Drosophila melanogaster: one gene and its partners. The protein of the gene in region 1 interacts with the protein of each later gene in a pairwise test. Each region holds a gene or a part of one and is shown on either strand. Other genes may lie near its edges.

Region 1 (6,579 bases):
ACGTGTTGGTATTTTGGCATTGCTTTTGCTTTCGATTTCAAAATACATACAATAAATACAAGTCTCCAATTTAACAATACAAGTATAAGTGCGGAGTTGTCCATATATTACGTCACCACTAATTGGAGGGGATTCCCCACAATAGGAGGACGATAACGTACGACTTTGCGATAACGTAATTTACTGACAGCTCCAAAAGTGTATATATATATATATATATATATATATATGTATATACATACATATATCATATGAATAGATAGATAATCCTCATCTGATCGAGCTAAAACGAATACAATACAAATATAAACTAAGCATTCTAAACGTTGCGTGAATTTTGGTACTTTAAGTAATGCTCATAGGTTGCCTAACACATTGAGAGTATTGAAAGTAAAAGCGTACTAAATCGACAGACTAATACATATTACAAACAAAATACAGTTTTCTTAATTAGGAAACATGAAGAAAGTGTAATAATTAAAATAATTGGCAATACGAGCGAGGAGCAGAAGGAATCAACAATACACTTTTTACTGTGAATATTTTTTTTTAGCTTTTTGATATTTTTTTGATGCTATTTTTTTTTTTTTTTTTTTTTTTTTTTTTTTTTTTTGTTTGATAATTTGCATTTTGGTTTTGGGCGGGTTTCGGCCTTTTGCTAATACACAAATCTTTTGTTGTACTATGCAGCCTGTTATATATGTACGTATAGTAGTAGTATGTGGTATATATTTATATAAATATGTATGCATGATAATGACCAAAGAGCAAATCAAAGGCGTTTTTACAATTTCTCGTCGACACAATATCGCTTGAATGATGTATGGTGTGGTGAGGAAGTGCATTTATGTGGTCGTAGTTGCAATTTCAACATTGTTCGTCTTGGCGGCAGCGGCCAATTTCTGCTGCTCCGTTGTGATGTTGGCTTCGTGGCCATCCACGTTGTTACTGCTGATATCGTTGGCATGATTGCTGAAAGGTAAACCCCTGGTTTTAATTACAAGTGCAATGTATTTAAGTAATAAATGGTAAAACAAAAAATTGAGCTACAAACCAATACATTGCATAGGTGTAAACTTGTTTGGCATTTTAAATAGATTAAAAGTATAAACATTTCATATATACATATTTACATACCCACGTGCAAAAGGGTTAACTTACAATTCATTCACTTTGCTGTCTGGTCCATTTGAAATGGGAGTAATTTGCTCGGTCTCCGAAGGACGATCCGCACCCAGTGGCTTGGTCCACATTCCCTCATCGTCCTCATAATCATCCTCGCCGTCCAGCAGTACGGATTGCAATCGAGTAACAATTGCTGCAGTCTCCACCACGCTCGACTCGGCCAGCTTATCGCTGATGGCCTTCTCCACGTTGGCATTATTGTCGTACTCAGCCTGCTGATCGTCGGTACACGCTAGATTATCCTGAACGCCCTTGCCCACAGCGAGGCCAATAGATTCAGCGGGTTGGCGCTCCTCTTCTGGGTTCACCTGTGTGGCGGATTCCGGCGCTGGGGAAGAGTCCTCCTCTTCCTCTTCACCTGGCGGCGCACTTATGGGCATACCAAGATCGCTGCCAAATGTGCTAAAGTGCGCATCGAAATCAGCAAAGTTATCCGAATTGAAATCCGTGCCCCAGTTGGCAGTGCCCGTGTTAACCTGCGTAGGCGCGCTGGAAAGCACGGCAAACTGGATGTCCCAAGGGTCAGCCAAGTTGTTCAGCGTGTTCGAATTTTTGGTGAACATGCCGTGCCCGTGGCCATCACCACCGCCTGAATGGTCGCCATGCTCATCATCGTCATCATCTTCGTCGTCAATGTTTCGACCAAACTGGAACCGATTCTGATCTATGGCAAAGAAGATGTCTTGCAACGTGTTATTCAGCTCACTACAATCCACTTCTCTGTACGGCAGATTACCAACGTTCCACGCATTTATCTCGCCAGTATAGTCATTGGATCCATCATTGTACTGATTCTCCTCGTGAGGATTGCAGTCGGCCAGGAGCTTGGTCTGCTGTTTAACCGCCAGCGAAAACTCGCCAGTTTCCGCATCGATCAACGATTGCCACAGCTTAACCTCATCTTCATCACTTAGGCTGCTGGTGATCAGATCACCGATATGTTCAGATTCTGATATACAATTCGTAATGTGACGAAGAATTTTAATAAGGTGGCCCATATAGCCCAAACGTCGACCCTTCTCAGCAGATCTAAAAAAAGAACATTTGTTATGTGCCAGACTGATAATTAGTCAATTGAAGTACTTACTGCGCCTGCGCATTGTGCTGCCACAAGTCGACCAGTTTGGATATCAGATGACAGTTTACAATTAACTGCAAATCAGCGAGAATTAAGTTTAGTTGGGTACAAAAGTCAACTAAGACTTACATGTGATTGCATTTCAGAAGGCGGAGGGCTCGGAACGGTCTTGGTCTTGTCGAGATCATTGAGCGTTGCCTCCGATTCTTGCTGATCTGTTGGAGATTCACCATCCACCTCACTATTTTTCACTTCATTATCCTGGGCTTTGGGTTCGGCGTCCTCAGAAGCTGTTGCTTCAGCTGCGGCTTCCACTTGGCTCATATGTTCTTCATGCTCTTGGTTTTCTTCTGCGGCTGTCTGTCGCTCATCGGGCGTCTGGGCAGCCACTTCCTGCGCAGCTGCCACTTCGATTTCGATGTCGCCCCCTTCCTCATCCTTGCCACCTTCCGCGCGCTTCGCATCGTTAAGAGCGTTCTTCATCTCGACTTCGGACTCCTCCGTGCCCACCTTCAAAAAGGCATTGATCAGGCAGTCTGCAGTGAAGTAATCCGTGACCTCCGTGGATGCAGTGTTGTTGTTGGACAGCTCGTTGTAAAAGACCACGTACAGTGCCTTCTCCATTTCTGTGTGCAGGAAGTTGTTCCAGCAGTACTGCTTGAAAAAGTCCAGCAACAGGCTGAAGTACTCAGTCGCGCAGATTCTAAAGTATAAAAAGTTATTATTTATTAAAAGTTCTCCTTTCTATAAAGCAGTGACTTACGCCTGCTGAATAGTCTCATGCTTGGTCTCCAGCAGAGCGGTGAACACGCGACAAACTTGCAGTCGAGTCTTTCCAAATGGGGGCGTTAACACGGCGGCCGTGGTTTCTAGTGTGGGTTTCTACAAGTCAAAAGATAAACAGCTGGTTCTTTGTGACAAAAAGTTTCATGCTAACCGCAGGCGGGTTTTTCAGTATGTGGACAAATTCCTGGAGGCGTGGCGCCATCACAGTGATCACAGTCTCCTGGACTTCCTGGTGGATTTCGCGTTCGCGCTTTTGCAACAACCGCTGGCGATCCGAGTTGGGCTCATCTCTACAGGAAAAAATGTAAATCAATTAGAATAAGGTGACAAATTCACTGGCAGCATAACTTACGTGAAGGTAATTGGCTTGATTAGCGTAAGTACAACCGATATTCCTGATAAGATGGCGCTCTCCTGAGCGTTTGGTTCCAAAATCACATTTAACAAGGCTTCAATTGTGTCCGCAAATTCGATCGTCTTCAGAATGGGGTTGGATCCATCGAAGGCCGGCTCAAACGAATCGTTCTCCTGCTCGGTCTGGCGCATTAGACGCCCTTGGTTAATAAGATCACAGAAAAAGTCGGCAACATTTGCATGTTTGTCGGTTTCTTGAGGATTACGCAATATTGCAATCAGTCTCTCAACAATTTTATCTTCAGTTAGCCACTGTTAAAAGAAATATTCGATAAGATTCGTATGCCTAGGCAAAACTCTCTAATGGACTTACTTCGAAAAGGTTCCGCTTAAGTCGCCCACCCTCGATGTCCTTCATCATCTGCATTATTAGATCAGGTATGACCGGTGTGTCAAAGTGTTTACAAATGAAATCCAAAAAGGTCTTCTGCGATTTAATATACTCCAGGAGTTGTAGGCACATGTGTTGATACAAAAACCAATCTTGTTCAGGCTTTTTGGTAAAGAGCATGCTAAACGTTTTGCTAAAAAACGACGATAGCAATGGATTTAACGGTGGTTCCTTTTCCAGATATGAATACAGCAGCTGCAGCGTCTCCGCGTCGTTCAGTAGCTTCTCATCCAGGGACGGCAGGCCGCTAAAATGGCATGGGCTATAGAATTCTGGATGGCAACGGGCATTCAATTCTTACAGTGTGAGTATCTCACAGGACATGTTGGCATAGCGGAAACGCTTCGACATGGGCACATCTTCAGAGGGCTCGGTCGTGATCAGCTCCACCAGACGCCGTATGACCTCGGGACGTGTAAAGTAGTTGACCAGGTTCTTCTTTTGCGTCTTGCACTCCTGCAGTATGTCCTCCTCGTCCAGAAATTCCTCCAGTGTGGAGTTCTGCGAATGGCGACGACGCGTAACTGAGACATTTCCACTTGATCAGCACGGATCGAGTCAACCTACCTCCTTCTCGAGCAGCGCCTCTATATTCGCGGAGGGCGCATAACCCTTGTCCCAAAACATTTTTCGCACGTACGTCTTGGCGGTGACACTTTCAGTCTGGGGGAAACAAGATCAATCTTCGCTGGACTCGCGGAACGCTGATGACTTGGCATGCACGGCTCTGCGGGACGGGATTGGAGATTTGGATAAGCGGAATAGCGCAATTAATACACTGAACACAGACTAGACTCAGCTCAACACTCGGCTCTCACAAAGTAATGCGTAAATTTTTGTAATTATGCCAAGCAGGCTCCACATATACACTACGAATGCGGGTCGAAAAATGGTTGTATGCCGGTCGTTTGAGATTGCAAGGGTTGCGGGATGCTTGGGCGCACACTTACGAGTTGGCTGGACTTTGTTTTGCTCACTGTTTGTTGCACTTTTGATTGGTTTTCAACCGAAAAAACCACGCTATAATTTTCTTCACTGCTTCGTAGAGGTGGACAATATTCGATTACAGGGTATATTAACTCAGTGTGATATATGCGGCCGATCGACCGTGTCCTCACACAATCGGTTATCGATTGTCATTTTTCAACTTGTTCACACGATAACCGCTGCACATATTGTAGAAACTAAACTACATACAATTATGTTTTATGATTTAAATACAGTTCTTTATTATAAATATATTTCTTTAATTGGTTTTCTTTTTAAATGGTTTTCTTTCTTTTCATTTTTGCCTGAGTTGCTATTTGATAACTTACCGAAAATGTTTTGCTTTCTAGAGAACATAAAGATTCCCCTGTTGCAATCGTTAAATTTAAGCTGTGGAGGTGTGTCATTTGGTGTCCGATATAGATTTTTCTGTTATCGTATATCGAATTGGCGGTCATCGCACATTTGTTTGTCCGAATTGTTATTTCGCAAATAACAATGGATGGCGTTGTTTTGTGCGAAATTGCTGATGAAGTACCTCCAGAAAGTCCCGAGGATCCAACGGAGTTCCGCTACGGAAAGAAGCGATGGGTGTTCAAAGATAATCTCGTTGAGCATAAAGAGGAGATTTTGATTTGTATTGAAAAATGTGTGTAGGCTAACGTACTATAATTGCACTTATTAATAAGAAAATATTTCAGGCCAGAATGCTCGGACGAGAAAGCTGAAGTTCAGATCCATTCGGCAGGAGTCGGGCTCCTGCATCCTGGTGCTAAGCCATGAACAGACGCATGTTCGAGCACGTGAGATCGAGATGGAAGTGGGAGAACAAGTTCTGCCCCTTTTCTTTAAAGACTTCAGAGGCAGTCTCGAGTTCGAGGTGGCCCAGCAGGAGAAGGAGCACAAGCGTCCCTTAAAAACATATGTAACCACCAAGTTGTACGACGCCCTCTACGAAAAGCACCGCCAGACCGTTCATGTTGAACAGGAACGTTCGCTAGACCTGCCGAAAAGATTTCAATCTCAGCTACGCAAGTACCAGCAGCGCACAGTATCTTGGATGCTGGGGCGGGAGCAGCAGATAACTCAAGTGCCGGCCAACTTCATAGTGCTCCATGCCATTGATGGTATAACTCGCGTCTTTAAGCATAAATACTGCTTACAATTTTATCCTTTCGAGGAGGAGATTCCCAAAATCTCGTTGCCGCCGGGTGGCATTCTGGCCGACGAGATGGGCCTGGGCAAGACCGTGGAGTTCCTGGCCATGCTGCTGATGAATCCGCGCCCACAAGACTCCTACCGAAACGATTACTGGCACCAACGCCTCGAGGAGTTTTCCGATGAAGTGCCATTAAAGCGGTCACGTATAAGTAAAAAAGACGAGGTTTTCTGCATCTGCACCAAGAAACACGGTAAACGAGTGCAGTGCACCAAATGCCGTCGGTGGCAACACGAAATGTGCATGACTATTTCAGAAAAATCAGACTTACCCCACCTGTGTCCCAGCTGCTGGTCCGAATTGGTAAAGTCTGGCGAAAGGCTTGTTGAGAGCGGCGCTACCATCATTGTATCTCCGAACGCCATCAAGATGCAGTGGTTCGAAGAGATACACAAGCATATATCGCCATCGCTTAAGGTGCTCCTTTATTTCGGCCTACACTCAACCTTCTGGGTTAGTCCTTTCGATCTGGCCCAGTACGATGTCGTCCTTACCGACTATACGATTCTGCGTAACGAA
Region 2 (5,009 bases), on another chromosome or scaffold:
GACTCACGCCAACATCTAAGAAGCACATGACAGCAGTAATTATTTAACAAAGCGAAAAAGTCTAGTACATGTAGGTCGATGTGAAGAAGGAAAAGACAGACACATTGCGGAAATGTAAACTAGCGGGTAAATTGATAACCACACAAAAAGTTCGAATGACATGGAGGGGAAATGCTCTAGATATATGTACAGCTGTGTTAAGAAAAATAGCAGTGCTTTGGACTTGAGTGTTTAAGATAAAAAATTCTTATGATTTACAGTTTTAATGGGAAATTTTTTTTTATAATATCATTAGGTATTTAATTTCAAACAATTTAACAAATGTTTCGCTTTTATTTCTTTAATAGTTTCGAAAATATAGATTAAAACAACATAATAGGCAGAAATTCTGGTTTTCAATGAAATAGCAGTGCTATGAAAAAATAGTAACAAAATTCAACTTGACTTAGAACGAACTTAGTCTTTCTTTTTAATATGTTAATTCGGGCCTAATACTTGGCTGGATAGCCTTTGTTAGCCAGCACAGCCTTACACCCACGCGGCATGGAGTCCACCAGGTCCTGGCAACGTTTGGGAGGAATTTTTGCCCATGCATCCTGCACAACTTGCCAAATCTGAGCCTTAGACGTCGGGGACTTCTTCCACACATATTGTTTAATGTCCCCCTACAGGTTTTCAATCGGGCTTAAATCGGAAGATGGTGCTTACCACGGCATTGCATCTATTCCATTTTGGGTGAACCTATTCTTAGCCGATTTGCATCTGCGTTTCGGATCATTATCCTGTTGGAATGTCCATTTTAAGGGCATATTATATTCAGAATATGACAATAAGACATCACTAAGTATATTTACATATGCGTTTTGGTCTATAATACCATAAATCATATGTTATGGACTCATAACCATTGTAAAAAAACAAGCCCATACCAGGATTTTAGGTCCACCGTGATTGAAAGTCTTCAGTGGGTGTTTTGGGTGGTACTCCGTGTTTGGAGGTCGTTAGATATACTGTAGTGAACCACTTCCACCAAATAGCACTATTTTTGACCGATCAGTCTAAAGGATATTACGCCATTTGCAGACTGGCCAGTTTCGGTAGGTTTTAGCGAAGGTAAACCTTGCCTGAATAAGCCTTGGGCTAAGTGGGGGAACCTTTCGTGGACTCCTCGCACTGAAATTTTAACGTCACTGATTCCCAAGTTCAGCTCAGACTTTATGTCCCTAGAGGATGCAAAAGGATAGGCTTTGCTCTAACGAACTGTGCGTCGATCCTCTATCTCTGTGGTTTTACGTTTGGTACCACGGTTTTCGGGCTTCCATTCATATTTAATGGTATTGGATACCATTTTGGCAGCACATTCAAGAGTTTTTTGAATGTCCTTAATGCTTTTCCTTCCTTTCTAAGCTTAAGAATTAACATTCTTTTCTCCTGGGAGCAGTGCTGTCCTCCACCCACTAAAATATAATTTAAAATTTTTTTTTTAATTTTTTGCCCTTTTAAATATACGAATTAACTTAACCAAACTCACTTTTTAGAAAATAATGATCATTTCGGAACTTTACGTTGGTCAAAACCAGGCACTGCTATTCTTATGAACAGCCTAAAAATTGCGATTTTGCTCAAGAATGTAAATAAAAAAAGGATAACAAGAAAAACTAACCGGCTTTTCTTTTTTTTTCCTATCTACACATTCAATTTAACAAAAATAAGTGGAATAAAAAGTCGATTCCGAAAAAGGACATGGAAAAATACCTTTGTATTACTTAGTTTCCTTCGCACTGCTATTTTCTGAACACAGCTGTAGATATGTACGAAATACAAACAAATACGTCAATCTTAAACTCCAGAACTACTGACATTATTAGAATCGTCAACCCCTCCACCATTTATCTCGTTTCACCCTTTTGAGCGTTATTCAATCTTGACCCGCTTTATAGCTGCCAGACATCAGCCCATGTCTGACCTTTTCGACGGTGCACGCACCTCACAGCCAAAATAGCAAAAGCAAAGCTACAAAATATTATAAATAACTTGGGGCAAGTTCCCTTTGACACGTGAGGGGTCATTATTCAGTGCTATAGCGCAGATGGTCTGCTAAGATCAAAGGAAATAGGTACACGAATAGGTTTTCTGCCAATTCCCAGAATACATTGTTATGTTAAAATAAACTATTAGTATATGAGTAAAAATGAAAACAAAGTAGATACTTATTTTTTAGTTGCTATTTACTTGCAATCTATGCTTGGCAGGTCATTAAATTATTATTAATTAAGGTCCCTGAAATCCAATTTAACCCATAGAAGTAGACATTTCTTTCCCAAGGAATAAGTATCGCAGCATCGACATCGATACTTTGCACCACCAAAACAATAACAGTGCACATATACACCGAAGGGTCCCGGTTCGCTTGCTCTAGCCGCAGTGCGTCAGAAGGGTATAGCACCCTGGGAGGGGGGGGGGGGTGGGGTGGTGCAGACAGGGACAGCTGTCATTTCCATACTCCGGGTGCCGTTATCGCAACGCAATACAGCTGTGTAGCACCAACAACTCAGCTGTTGACAAGAACATGTGTGTATACAGGCGTAAGGGTGTGTGCGTGCGTGTGGGGGTATGTGCGTCTGGCTTGAGTTCTCTGCGTTTAATTCCAACTTGGGTGCTCGTGTACCTACTTATTCTCGATCCTAGTCCGTTCTTCCAATTGGAGTGCCAGTGTGAACTGGTTGGGGAACTCACCTGGTGGCCAGGTAGGAACGTTTATCCATACAAACACGGCTGCACTTTCGAAGTCGTTGCGCTGTTTTTCCGTCTGTTTATGGGGAAATCAAGAAAACTCGATACGGATGTGCATTGCAGTTTCGCACACTTGCACTTTTTCGCTTGCACACAAACAAATGCACACACACAATTGGAAAATAGCCGACGTGCAATTGGTGCTAATGGCGTTTCGGCATCTCCCGGTTTCCCGTTTTAGCCACACTTTCCACCCCCTACTCGCTGGAGCACAAAGAATTTACGAGAACACCAGAAATGCACTTCCGTGGCCGTTACAAAAAACACAGGCGGACAAATCGAAGCGAAGTGTACGTCCGCTCGCCAGTGTGACCGTACATATAACTGTGGAAAATACGAGGCAGACCACCTGACTTGATTGAAATACCACATAGTTTGGTCTGGGGTATTCTCAAGTCTGGCGAGAACTAGGGCTACCTTAAAATTAACGGCATCTTCACCCAAAAATAACTGTGCCCGATATTTTTTTTTAAGTTTTCTCACCATTAAATACTACACTACTAATACACTACTCCCCAGGATCAAATCACTCATCCCAGCATCCACATCATCCCAAAACTCTACTGCAGCCGCCAGATAACCAACAACATTAGCTGCGCAGCTTGCAGCAATTGCTCAACGGTCACCAATGACACCGTGTTGGGCGGGAGTCTCCAGCGGGTTACGGTTGGTCCTTGTGTCGATGTGGGGACTCCGGACTTCTTCCAGGTAAAGTAGTTCAGCTATGAGTTCAGTCGGGTTCAAAATTGGTTGGTGGCCAATATAGCCATTTTGTCAATTTGCAGAAGACACAACAACTGCTCAAGGTCATACTCCTAGACTCACGGATAAGATATTCATCCAGGAACCAAAAAAGGAAAAAATAAATTTAAAATGTTAAGAATTATTTTATAATCAATTTTTTTCACTTTTGTTTAAATCCGATTGGCGAAGTGATTGTTACGCGTACATACATTATACATAAATTATCAAGGAATTCTCCTGCATTTAATTTCGAAATTCCTCGGGATTTCCGCTGGAATCTATTTCAATAGGTTGCACTTTAGTAGAATATTACTTTCGTACATTTAATTTTAAAATAGTTTTAAGAGACATCTGATACTAGGTATCTGATAGCCTGGTCATCCTAATTTCGTGTTCGCTTTTGTTATTTTCGTTACTCGAAGAGTGTAAGGTAAATTGAATTATAAGAAAAGTAGGCAAAACTTAGGATAAGCAATAGTTCGGGCATTCGACCAAAGCGTTCTCATGATTTCAGCTTTCTCTTTTTATTATTTGGTAATAGGACATACGACTATACTTTTTTTTTTTTTTTTTTTTGTTAATTCCAAATAAAACTGCAGAAATTTAAACATTAATTGGGCTTAACTAAACCAGTGGAGTCCATAAGTTTATAAGTAATCTAATGGAGTGCTATTGATAATTATTTTCAAACTGTTAATTTATAGATATATTTGGTCATACAAACTTTTTAAAGCGTAAATGAATGCAAAGAACGCAGGGTATACAAAACCCGATTAGAGATCTCGATCCGGAATTGTCAGTTTTGATTTACCAGCTTGTAGGACAGCCTGTAGGGACAATTAATTACACCTAAGCCCTAACTTTCGGAAAATGTGTGAGTATCAAATGGACTGTAGACCGCCACCCGCAGCGCGCTAATCCTTCCGCCAGCAGCGTCTCCGTGTGGCAAGTGCAACAACTGTCCCTGCGGCACCAGCGGCGGAGCCCCACCCCCCCAGCAGCCGCCCCACAGGCCACCCCCCTCGTACGCCCACCAGCCGCAGCAGCAGCCGGACAGCTGTCCCTATCCGGGTCCGCGGGGCCAGGGAGCAGGCGGGTGCCAGGTCAACTCGACGCAGCCGCCGGGCGATCCCGCCGCATGCAGCCTCTACCAGAGCCGGGGAGCCCCCACCGTGGAGTGCACGTGCACTCAGAACCGTAGCCGGCCACCTCCGCCATCCGTTCAGGCGGACCACATCACGTGCAGCCGGGGTCCGCGGGAGCAGCCGCCTGCCCTGGAGACCCGCTGCACCTGTCGCGAGAAGCCCGCCAAGACGGAGTGCCACTGCGCCCCGCCGGTGGCCCCGCCTCCCAACCAACAGCAGCAGCAGGCGATGGCCCAGCCCACCTACGCCAACGTGACCTGTGGCCAGAACGTGCCCAGAGGACCGCAACCCTATCGCCCGCACCACGGCAACCAGAGTCAGAACCCG
Region 3 (7,638 bases), 4.8 Mb from region 1:
CCTGGTATTCGTTGCGTTTTCGCCGCTTCAGCTCGTTCTCGGGACTGAAAAGTACGAATTTGGAAGGGGATTAGAGGGATTTTTGTTTGACTAGGCGGTTGAAAAATAGATACTGAGCAGATCTAAGACTAGATTCTTACCTGGCTGGGAGCTGGCCTGGAATTGGATCGATGCCGTTCGCCTTGTGCTGCTCGTCGACTGGCACCGCTGGCTTCTCGTTGTTGGCATTAACATCGTCGGCATGTGGCTGTGTTGTCGCGGGCACGTGTCCATTAACTGGATCGGCATCGTGCTCGTTAATGGTCTCGTACTCCTCATCCTCATCGGTGTCGTCCTCGTCATCGTCATCCAGCAAGTAATCCTCATCGCTGTCCGAATCGTTGAAAGCCCTTACGGGTAATGGCGGCAAGGGACGACTGTCGGCCACCTCGGCATCGTGGATCATGTCGTGCTGATTAATGAAGTTGTTCAGGGCGTCCTTGCTCAGCTCTTTGCCGATACTTTCAGCTCCATTAGCCTGGGCCGCGCGCATATTGAGCGAAAGTATACCGCCGGAATTGGGGGCCAGTGGCAGATTAAGCGATTGGACGCGTGGGGGCAATGGCGGCGGCAGCTCATCCAGTGTGTGAGTCTCTGTGTCGTTGCTAATGAGGGGTTCTTCAGCGTCAAGAAAGGTCTGAAGAGAAATCAAATGTTCTAATTAGTCGCGGAAAATAATCAGGGCCTTCACAGAAATCTCTGCAAACCAAAAACAATGGTTTCTTTTTCGCATCAATTAAACAATAATCATTAAGCTGATACTAGATCACATAATAAAAAACAAAACTAAACATAATACAGTTTTCAAAAGTAATCATAATTCCATTAAACAATATGAATTCTAGTAACCATAACCAAGCCCAGAGATTTCTGTGACCCCCCAGAATAAATAGCGATGTGCAATATATACGGCGGTGCTTGGCAGCCCCCAAGTTTGACTCCCAAACGCCGACCGCTGGTCGCGCATACATACGGGATCGTGCAGCTTTTTAATGCCCTCGATGATCGCCTGGTAGGAGAAGTCCAGCTGGTCGGCGGTCTGTATGAGGCCCATGCGGTAGCTGCGCAGCTCGCAGAGCACCTTGGACACATTGCACTCTCCGTACTTGTCGATAAGTACCAGGCAACAGTCCACCAGGCAGAAGGTGCCCGACCGCCCGATTCCGGCACTGCAGTGCACTACGGCTGGACCCACGTCGCGGCTGAGGCAGCCGGAGTCGCGAACCTGCTGCAAGAACTTAAGGAATGCGTTCGGCGAGCTGGGAATGCCAAAGTCCGGCCATGTGGTGTAGTGGAACTGCATCACTTCACGACTCTGCTGCGTTTCGAGATCGGTTAATCTAGAGAAATAGTCAAAGGCAATTAGTCCACATGTACAAATGGTTTGAAGCAGAAGAAGAATAAAGAGTTCTACTCACTTGAACCATCGCCGCACAAAGTTCTGGTAGGTCTCGAGACGGACGAGCTCCACGGTGAGTTTGACGTGGGGCAGTTTCAGGGCCTTGTCGGCTCCCATCTCGTTGGGCCAGTAGAGGTGGCACTTGATCTGTTTCTTCTCCATCAGCTTGTTGAGCATGAGAACTGCTCTGGACTTCTGCTCCCATACCATCAGCCAGAAGTGGCCCACTGTGTCCACCAGCGGTCCTTGGGTCAGGATGTACTGGCGCTCGGCGCGCTCCAGCTAGAAAGGATTGATTGATCGCATTAGGCGTTTAATTAGGGGTGTGTGTATGCATTAAAAACGTGACCCACCTGAACCAGGTTCGCATTGATGTAGTCTACGCTGCCGCGCTTCAAAACAATGCGGGAATGATCGTACGGATTCACATCCCGATAGCGATTCAGGCCGCGGTTCGTGTGGCGTTCCGATTCCGAGGTGCTGAACTGCTTCTCCTTCGCCTCCCGGTCGCAGGTCTCACAAATTTCCTGGAATTCCGAAAAGAGCGATTAGTACAATCGAAACTACCCATAACAACAAAGGTTGAGGTGGTATTAAAATTCGGTCGCTTTACTGACAACTTATCAGTCAATTTGCAGGCGGTAATTCAGGGGATTTTGTGAGATTTGCGCTATTTACCTAAGCGTTCCAGACCCCAGAAGACAACTACTATAGTGTCTTACTGGAAGATCTCTTCTTTCTGGTACAAAATTCGTAAAAAATATAGTTTTCGTGTTACTCAATTATCTAAGACAGTAATAAGACCAAAAGTTCAAACTAATTAAACATTTATGCATGAAATGACCCAACGAATTCTTCGATACAAGAGCAAACAGCAAATAGCAGTGCACAATAGTATTGAATGGCATTGTTAAAACGAATATCAGAGCTTCCTTTTAGAACCATACAAACTGAGAAACTGTAAGGCGCAATTAAGCTTTTTACGATTTGTGTTCCGAGAAAATGAAAACGTTCAGACTCATAATGGTCTGATAATAACTAGTTTTAAAGTGATACATTTGTTTGACTGACTCGCAAACAAATTGTCAAGAAACGAATTGATAAGATCCTGTTAGAAGAATGCTAGAATGTTACAGAAATCGAATTTGTTTTTTTCCATGGGGGTTGCCCCCTTTGCAGTGATTCATCACTTGGCCCAGCGACAAGGGGCTCCTCCGGATTGGCAAACCCTGCGATTGAAGCGATAGTAGATACATGTAAGGGGCATCGGACTGGGAGGGAACCATGCGGCATATGAAAAGCCCACCCAGTCTACATAGCGGGCGTGACTAATTAGCCATGCGATGTTGGTGATGGCGATGGCAAAGCAAGCTGTCGGTAATGGCATTATCTTGGGCATGACCGGTGCGGCATTATCAGCAGTGTGAACGGGGAATTGCTGGCGCAGCTGAAAGTGGCCCCGCCAATTGAACCATCGAATCCGACTACCGAACCGTTAACAAGGTCAATGGCAACCACCTGGCGACGACAAGTGCTCCTTAAACTCGGCTCAAAGCTAATCACATGCATGCGGTGATGAGTAACCATTTAATATGGTTACCCATCAGCTCGCGTTGATTGCAGCTCGAAAATCAGTTGTTAATTGTCAGTTCGTCATGTTTCAACAATGAATCAGCTGCAAATTCTGCAGCTGACCTGTTATGAAATAACTTTAAAGAGTCATATTTTTACGTAATCTCCAAATCTGAGACGGGCTAATGACCGATAAGGAAGCTTTTCAAAGAGCAAAATCTCAATGGCTATCGCTACATTTGATAATTCGTAATTAGAAACGGAAAGAAATCCATGGTTGCACTTAATATTTCTCGAAACTCCTCAACTCAATAGCATTTCTACAATCACCTATTTAAGGTCTGATAATCGACGAGTCACGTGAGAATACGCGCAGATAATTGAGCTGCTTTATTTAAATGTTTGCCAATGATAAAGACTTTCAGTGTACTTATGATGTATAAAGTTGTATTCCTTGTACTATATCAAACTAGATATGATATATAAAATCAACAATCCATCCGGAACTTATGTAAATCCATAGCTTGGATTGGATTCATTCTGATGGAGAAAACAGTTCTTCGGCTCCGTTGAACATTAAGTCTTGGGCCGTTTACCAGCTACATACTGTTTTTTATGCTCGGTGGCTATCCAGGTGACCCTTCTAAACGGAGTGGCGAAATCCAAGCGAAGGCGCGGAAATCTCGGGGGCTTTGGTTTCCAAAGCGTGTCGTGCAAACCGTTTTATGGTTATTATGTTTCTGCTTTACCTTGCAACGCTCGAAGGAAATCGAGAAACAGTAACAAAAACATTGCATGCACGCAGAGCACAATTGCAACGATGGATAAAGACTTCTTGGCCAATACGAATTTGACATACCCTTTCACACACACTATGCGAGTTAACAAGTTTCATATTTCATAAAATCTGGCTTGACTGTTTCCAGAGAAACGAAAAAGAAGACGGTCACCTGTTGATACCAACGACTGGTAAGGACTATAACACCCTCTGGCAGGGTATAGCTGTGGAGGAGCTTCGTCACAGTCCACGGAGGTTGTCATAATGGGACGGAGTGGGTTGGGTGGGATGTTGATGGAACGGATGGATCGAGAAGGCGCTAGGTATGAGCTGATAGGCGGGGAGGGGCGGCGAGTTGAGAAGACCCAGTGTAACGCACTTCGTTCAATGGAAATGATTAAACATAAAGCAAAGCATAGCAAAACAATACGGTCCGAATGCGTCACTGCGTTTTTGGCTACAGTCCAAATCCCCTATGATGGGCTATCATATGGCAAATGTCAAATAAATTGGAAGTTTTAATGATAACCACAAAATTAGTTGTACCGTTTATGTTCACACATATTTGCGATTTATTAATTCTTAGAAGAATGTGTTTTGGAATTTCTATAATAAAGACAGATAAGTGCCTATAATGGATTATAATTTTCTTCAGAAATGTAGTAGCATGCACAGCTAAATGTTATTAAAGTAAAAATTGGGGTAGGTCGGTCTTATTCATAAAGTAATCATCGAAAAATGTGATGTTTTCACATTGATCATAGTTGTTTTTCATTGCAACAAAAATGAGTCAACGTTTACATGCTATGGAACATATAAAATTCAGCGAATTTAGATGAATTTCACGAAAGTAATATTATCAAGCTGAAAACTATTTATGATTTAATGAGAAAATATGATTAAAGAAAGTTTATTGAAATCTCACTTTGGCCTAACAAGATCGTCTTAGTCAAGTTGCACTGTATTTCAGTGGAAATGGCTGGTAGCTATTTTCCAGTCAGTTTCGACGCACAATTGCGGGCTGCCTTCCAGTTAGCTGGAAAATTAGATTATCCTCGACGCGAGCACAAAGGATGACGAACGAGGATGCCGAGGAGCGGGTCCAGAAACGAGATATTTCTACACACGACCATATACTGTGTCATCCTAACTGCGGAGTGGAATTCCGTGAAATCCCAATTCAAGTGAGTGGAAGCGCTGAAAGAGGCACAGAGGAACAGAGGAGGAGGAGTAGCAGCTGAAGACAGTTCGCCGGAACTGGCTATAAAGAACGAGTGGAGGTGGAGGAGGAGAGAAGAAGGGGCAAGGAGAGGATTCCGACTCCAATTCCGACAGGCAACCAGAAGCAGCCCAAAGCGAGACTCAAAAAACCAGACGCATGCCCTTTGTGCCCCTGTGTGCGTGAGCCTCTCTCTCCTGCTCAACGCGAGCGGGTGTGTGTGTGTGTGCGCGCGTTAGAGGAGTTCTTCAGTGGAGAGCACTGTCACCCCTCCACGAATTGTATTTTGTTTTTGGGGGACGGCAATCACAAACACAACGAGCTTCCCAGAAATCGCCTCCAATTTGATTTGGCCAAACGAGAATTCGCGGAATAGCTCAAGCGCTCTATTGATAGTCAAAGGAAAGCGTTTTTGGGGAAAGGTATGGCAGAATAACAAGCATAAATATGCCAAATACAGGCCAATACACACGCACGAACTCACACACACACGCGTTCGATGGAGAATGCAAAGTAAAGTGCAGCAGGTGTGCGTGTATGTGTGTTGGTGCTATTCTGTTTGTACATTCTTTTCCATGGGTTTTTGTTTTTGGCCAAAGCCTGGCTGTTAAAGCAACAACTGCAACAACAACAGCACTGACACACAATACACACGCACACACGTAAAGCTCGCCGCTGCACTGGTGTTGGTGGTGGAGGCATCTGCAGAAGCCTTTTGCGCACTCATCACATTTTCGTGGAAATCGGAGCGCCAAGGAGCTGTGGAAAGGTGTATACTCCGCATCCGTTGCGAATCCTTGGCGAATCGAACTGTGCCACAATCATTCGTCCAGTTTGTAACCAGTTTTCAGTGCAGTCGCAGTTGTTGTTGCCAATTACCTTGTAGAAGCGATGCCATTGCGGCCCCTTGTCCTTGTACTCCGCCTCGATTTGCAGACGGGCAGCGGCCGCCGACCCACTCCCACTCGTTTTCTGCTCGCTCATTGTGCACACTTTGCTGCGATTTGTTCCGATTTAATAACTTTTAATTTGGTTATCAGGCGGCTGGTTAATTTCAGAGGAGAACTAGAGCTGGACAACTCACGACAGTGTCGATGTATCGAATATTTGAGCTTGCGAAATACTATCGGTATTTGCAGTGCGATACCGAGTGATAGTTCGATTGTACATCACTATATTGATCGCATTACATATTATATTCTCTTATGGTGATTCCTATTTACAAATGCAAGCCAAACACAATATATTGTATCTGCGACATTATTATTCTGAAATATTAGTTACGTCTATCGATATTTTCACCATCAAATAATGTGACCAGGCGCTGTAGAGCAATAGAACACATACTGAAACTAAAGTGCTTGCGCAGAAATTAGAACTTTACTGAAACATAATATAACATTCGGGATAAGTTTTCTATAATTTATATAAAATTAAATACTTAACTAAAGACATAACAATATAAAAACAATTGAAATAAAATATTTTAAATAAAAATAAAATAAAAAAAATAAAATAAAATATTTTAAAAGTAAAATAGAAAAATTCTGATAAGAAAATTGGGTTCAAATACTTTAAAATACCGATATTACAATCGCTCATCGTTGACCAGTGTTATCGAGTAATACCAAAAGTATCGAATCAACAACTGTTACCCAATTTATTAATAACAACAGAAAGAAGCCAAAGCAAAATGCTGACCCGCGTGTTCCGCCTAGTGCACGACAGGCGCCTGAGTGTGCCTGTCCTGCGTTGCTTCCACCACGAGTTCTCCAAGCCGCCACAACAGGCAGCGAAGGGCCAGGAAATCGAAGGCAATCCCGAAAAGACTTTGGTTGCCGGCGTGCAAGACAAGTACAAAATATTCCGCGATGAGGAAGCCACGGAGATTTTTGATGTGGAAGAGGCACGCCACCAGGAGCAGCAACTTCCAGAGCCGGACCTGGAGCTGGATCACTATTACGGCCTCAATTTAAAGCGTAGGTTGGCAATCGTCCAGGGAGAGCAGAAATTTAAGCCTTTGTTTCCCTTTGCAGGAGGTGTTCGCGGAGTGTTCGACGTTGAGGACTTGGTGGAGCTGCTCCGCAAGGAGAATGTGGACGACATATTCGTCTGCTACGTGCCGGAGAACCTGAAGTACGTTGACCACCTGGTGGTTTGCAGTGGTCGCAGTTACCGACACATGCTGTCCACCGCGGAGTTCGTGCGCCGAATGTTCAAGATCAAGCGGGGCAAGGGTGACATATTGCCGCGCATCGAGGGCGATAAGAGCCGGGATTGGATGGCCATGGACTTGGGTGGGTATTGAAATAAATGCATATTCCGGTTTCTCCGCTCTAACACGTTCCGTTTCCTTTTAGGCAACATTGCCCTGCACATATTTTCACCGAGTGCTCGCGAGGAATACGATCTGGAGTCGCTGTGGGCCATTGGCTCCGAATTCGACCGCGAAAGCCAAAAACCCACCAATCCCTATGGCGATATTTTCATGGCTCAAACACCCCTTTCTTTCGTAGACAAATCGAAACTAAAGACGTAAAATAATACATTTCACTATTAATAAAAAAAAACTCTTTAGAGCTGCGTACGTGCGAGATCACTTGCAGTGTGATTTGGAAAAACAATAAGGTA

What was found.
Region 2: the proteins of fmt (region 1) and Cerk interact in a two-hybrid assay, tested with the Drosophila melanogaster proteins (one large-scale study listed by BioGRID).
Region 3: the proteins of fmt (region 1) and Ptp61F interact in a two-hybrid assay, tested with the Drosophila melanogaster proteins (one large-scale study listed by BioGRID).

What each region holds. Positions count from the first base shown.
Region 1 is NT_037436.4:6,168,956-6,175,534, forward strand, and holds fmt (fiery mountain), read right to left. Parts: upstream 4,926-6,579; 5' UTR 4,805-4,925; intron 4,582-4,804; 5' UTR 4,482-4,581; coding exon 4,422-4,481; intron 4,356-4,421; coding exon 4,156-4,355; intron 4,102-4,155; coding exon 3,777-4,101; intron 3,716-3,776; coding exon 3,402-3,715; intron 3,340-3,401; coding exon 3,201-3,339; intron 3,146-3,200; coding exon 3,027-3,145; intron 2,967-3,026; coding exon 2,393-2,966; intron 2,338-2,392; coding exon 2,273-2,337; intron 2,215-2,272; coding exon 1,162-2,214; intron 988-1,161; coding exon 846-987; 3' UTR 614-845; downstream 1-613. Other genes in the region: CG7376 (uncharacterized protein), read left to right, coding at 5,340-5,490, 5,543-6,579.
Region 2 is NT_033777.3:5,365,185-5,370,193, forward strand, and holds the start of Cerk (ceramide kinase), read right to left. Parts: upstream 3,123-5,009; 5' UTR 2,737-3,122; intron 1-2,736. Other genes in the region: CG31542 (uncharacterized protein), read left to right, coding at 4,408-4,411, 4,471-5,009.
Region 3 is NT_037436.4:1,344,486-1,352,123, forward strand, and holds the start of Ptp61F (protein tyrosine phosphatase 61F), read right to left. Parts: upstream 6,115-7,638; 5' UTR 5,992-6,114; coding exon 5,887-5,991; intron 5,058-5,886; exon of another isoform or gene 4,714-5,057; intron 1,966-4,713; coding exon 1,792-1,965; intron 1,721-1,791; coding exon 1,458-1,720; intron 1,380-1,457; coding exon 1,013-1,379; intron 677-1,012; coding exon 141-676; intron 45-140; coding exon 1-44. Other genes in the region: CG9166 (uncharacterized protein), read left to right, coding at 6,701-6,986, 7,044-7,304, 7,368-7,546. UniProt on the Drosophila melanogaster protein: Non-receptor protein tyrosine phosphatase. Required for maintaining dock/dreadlocks in its non-phosphorylated state. Negative regulator of InR/insulin-like receptor signaling through dephosphorylation of tyrosines when recruited by dock/dreadlocks.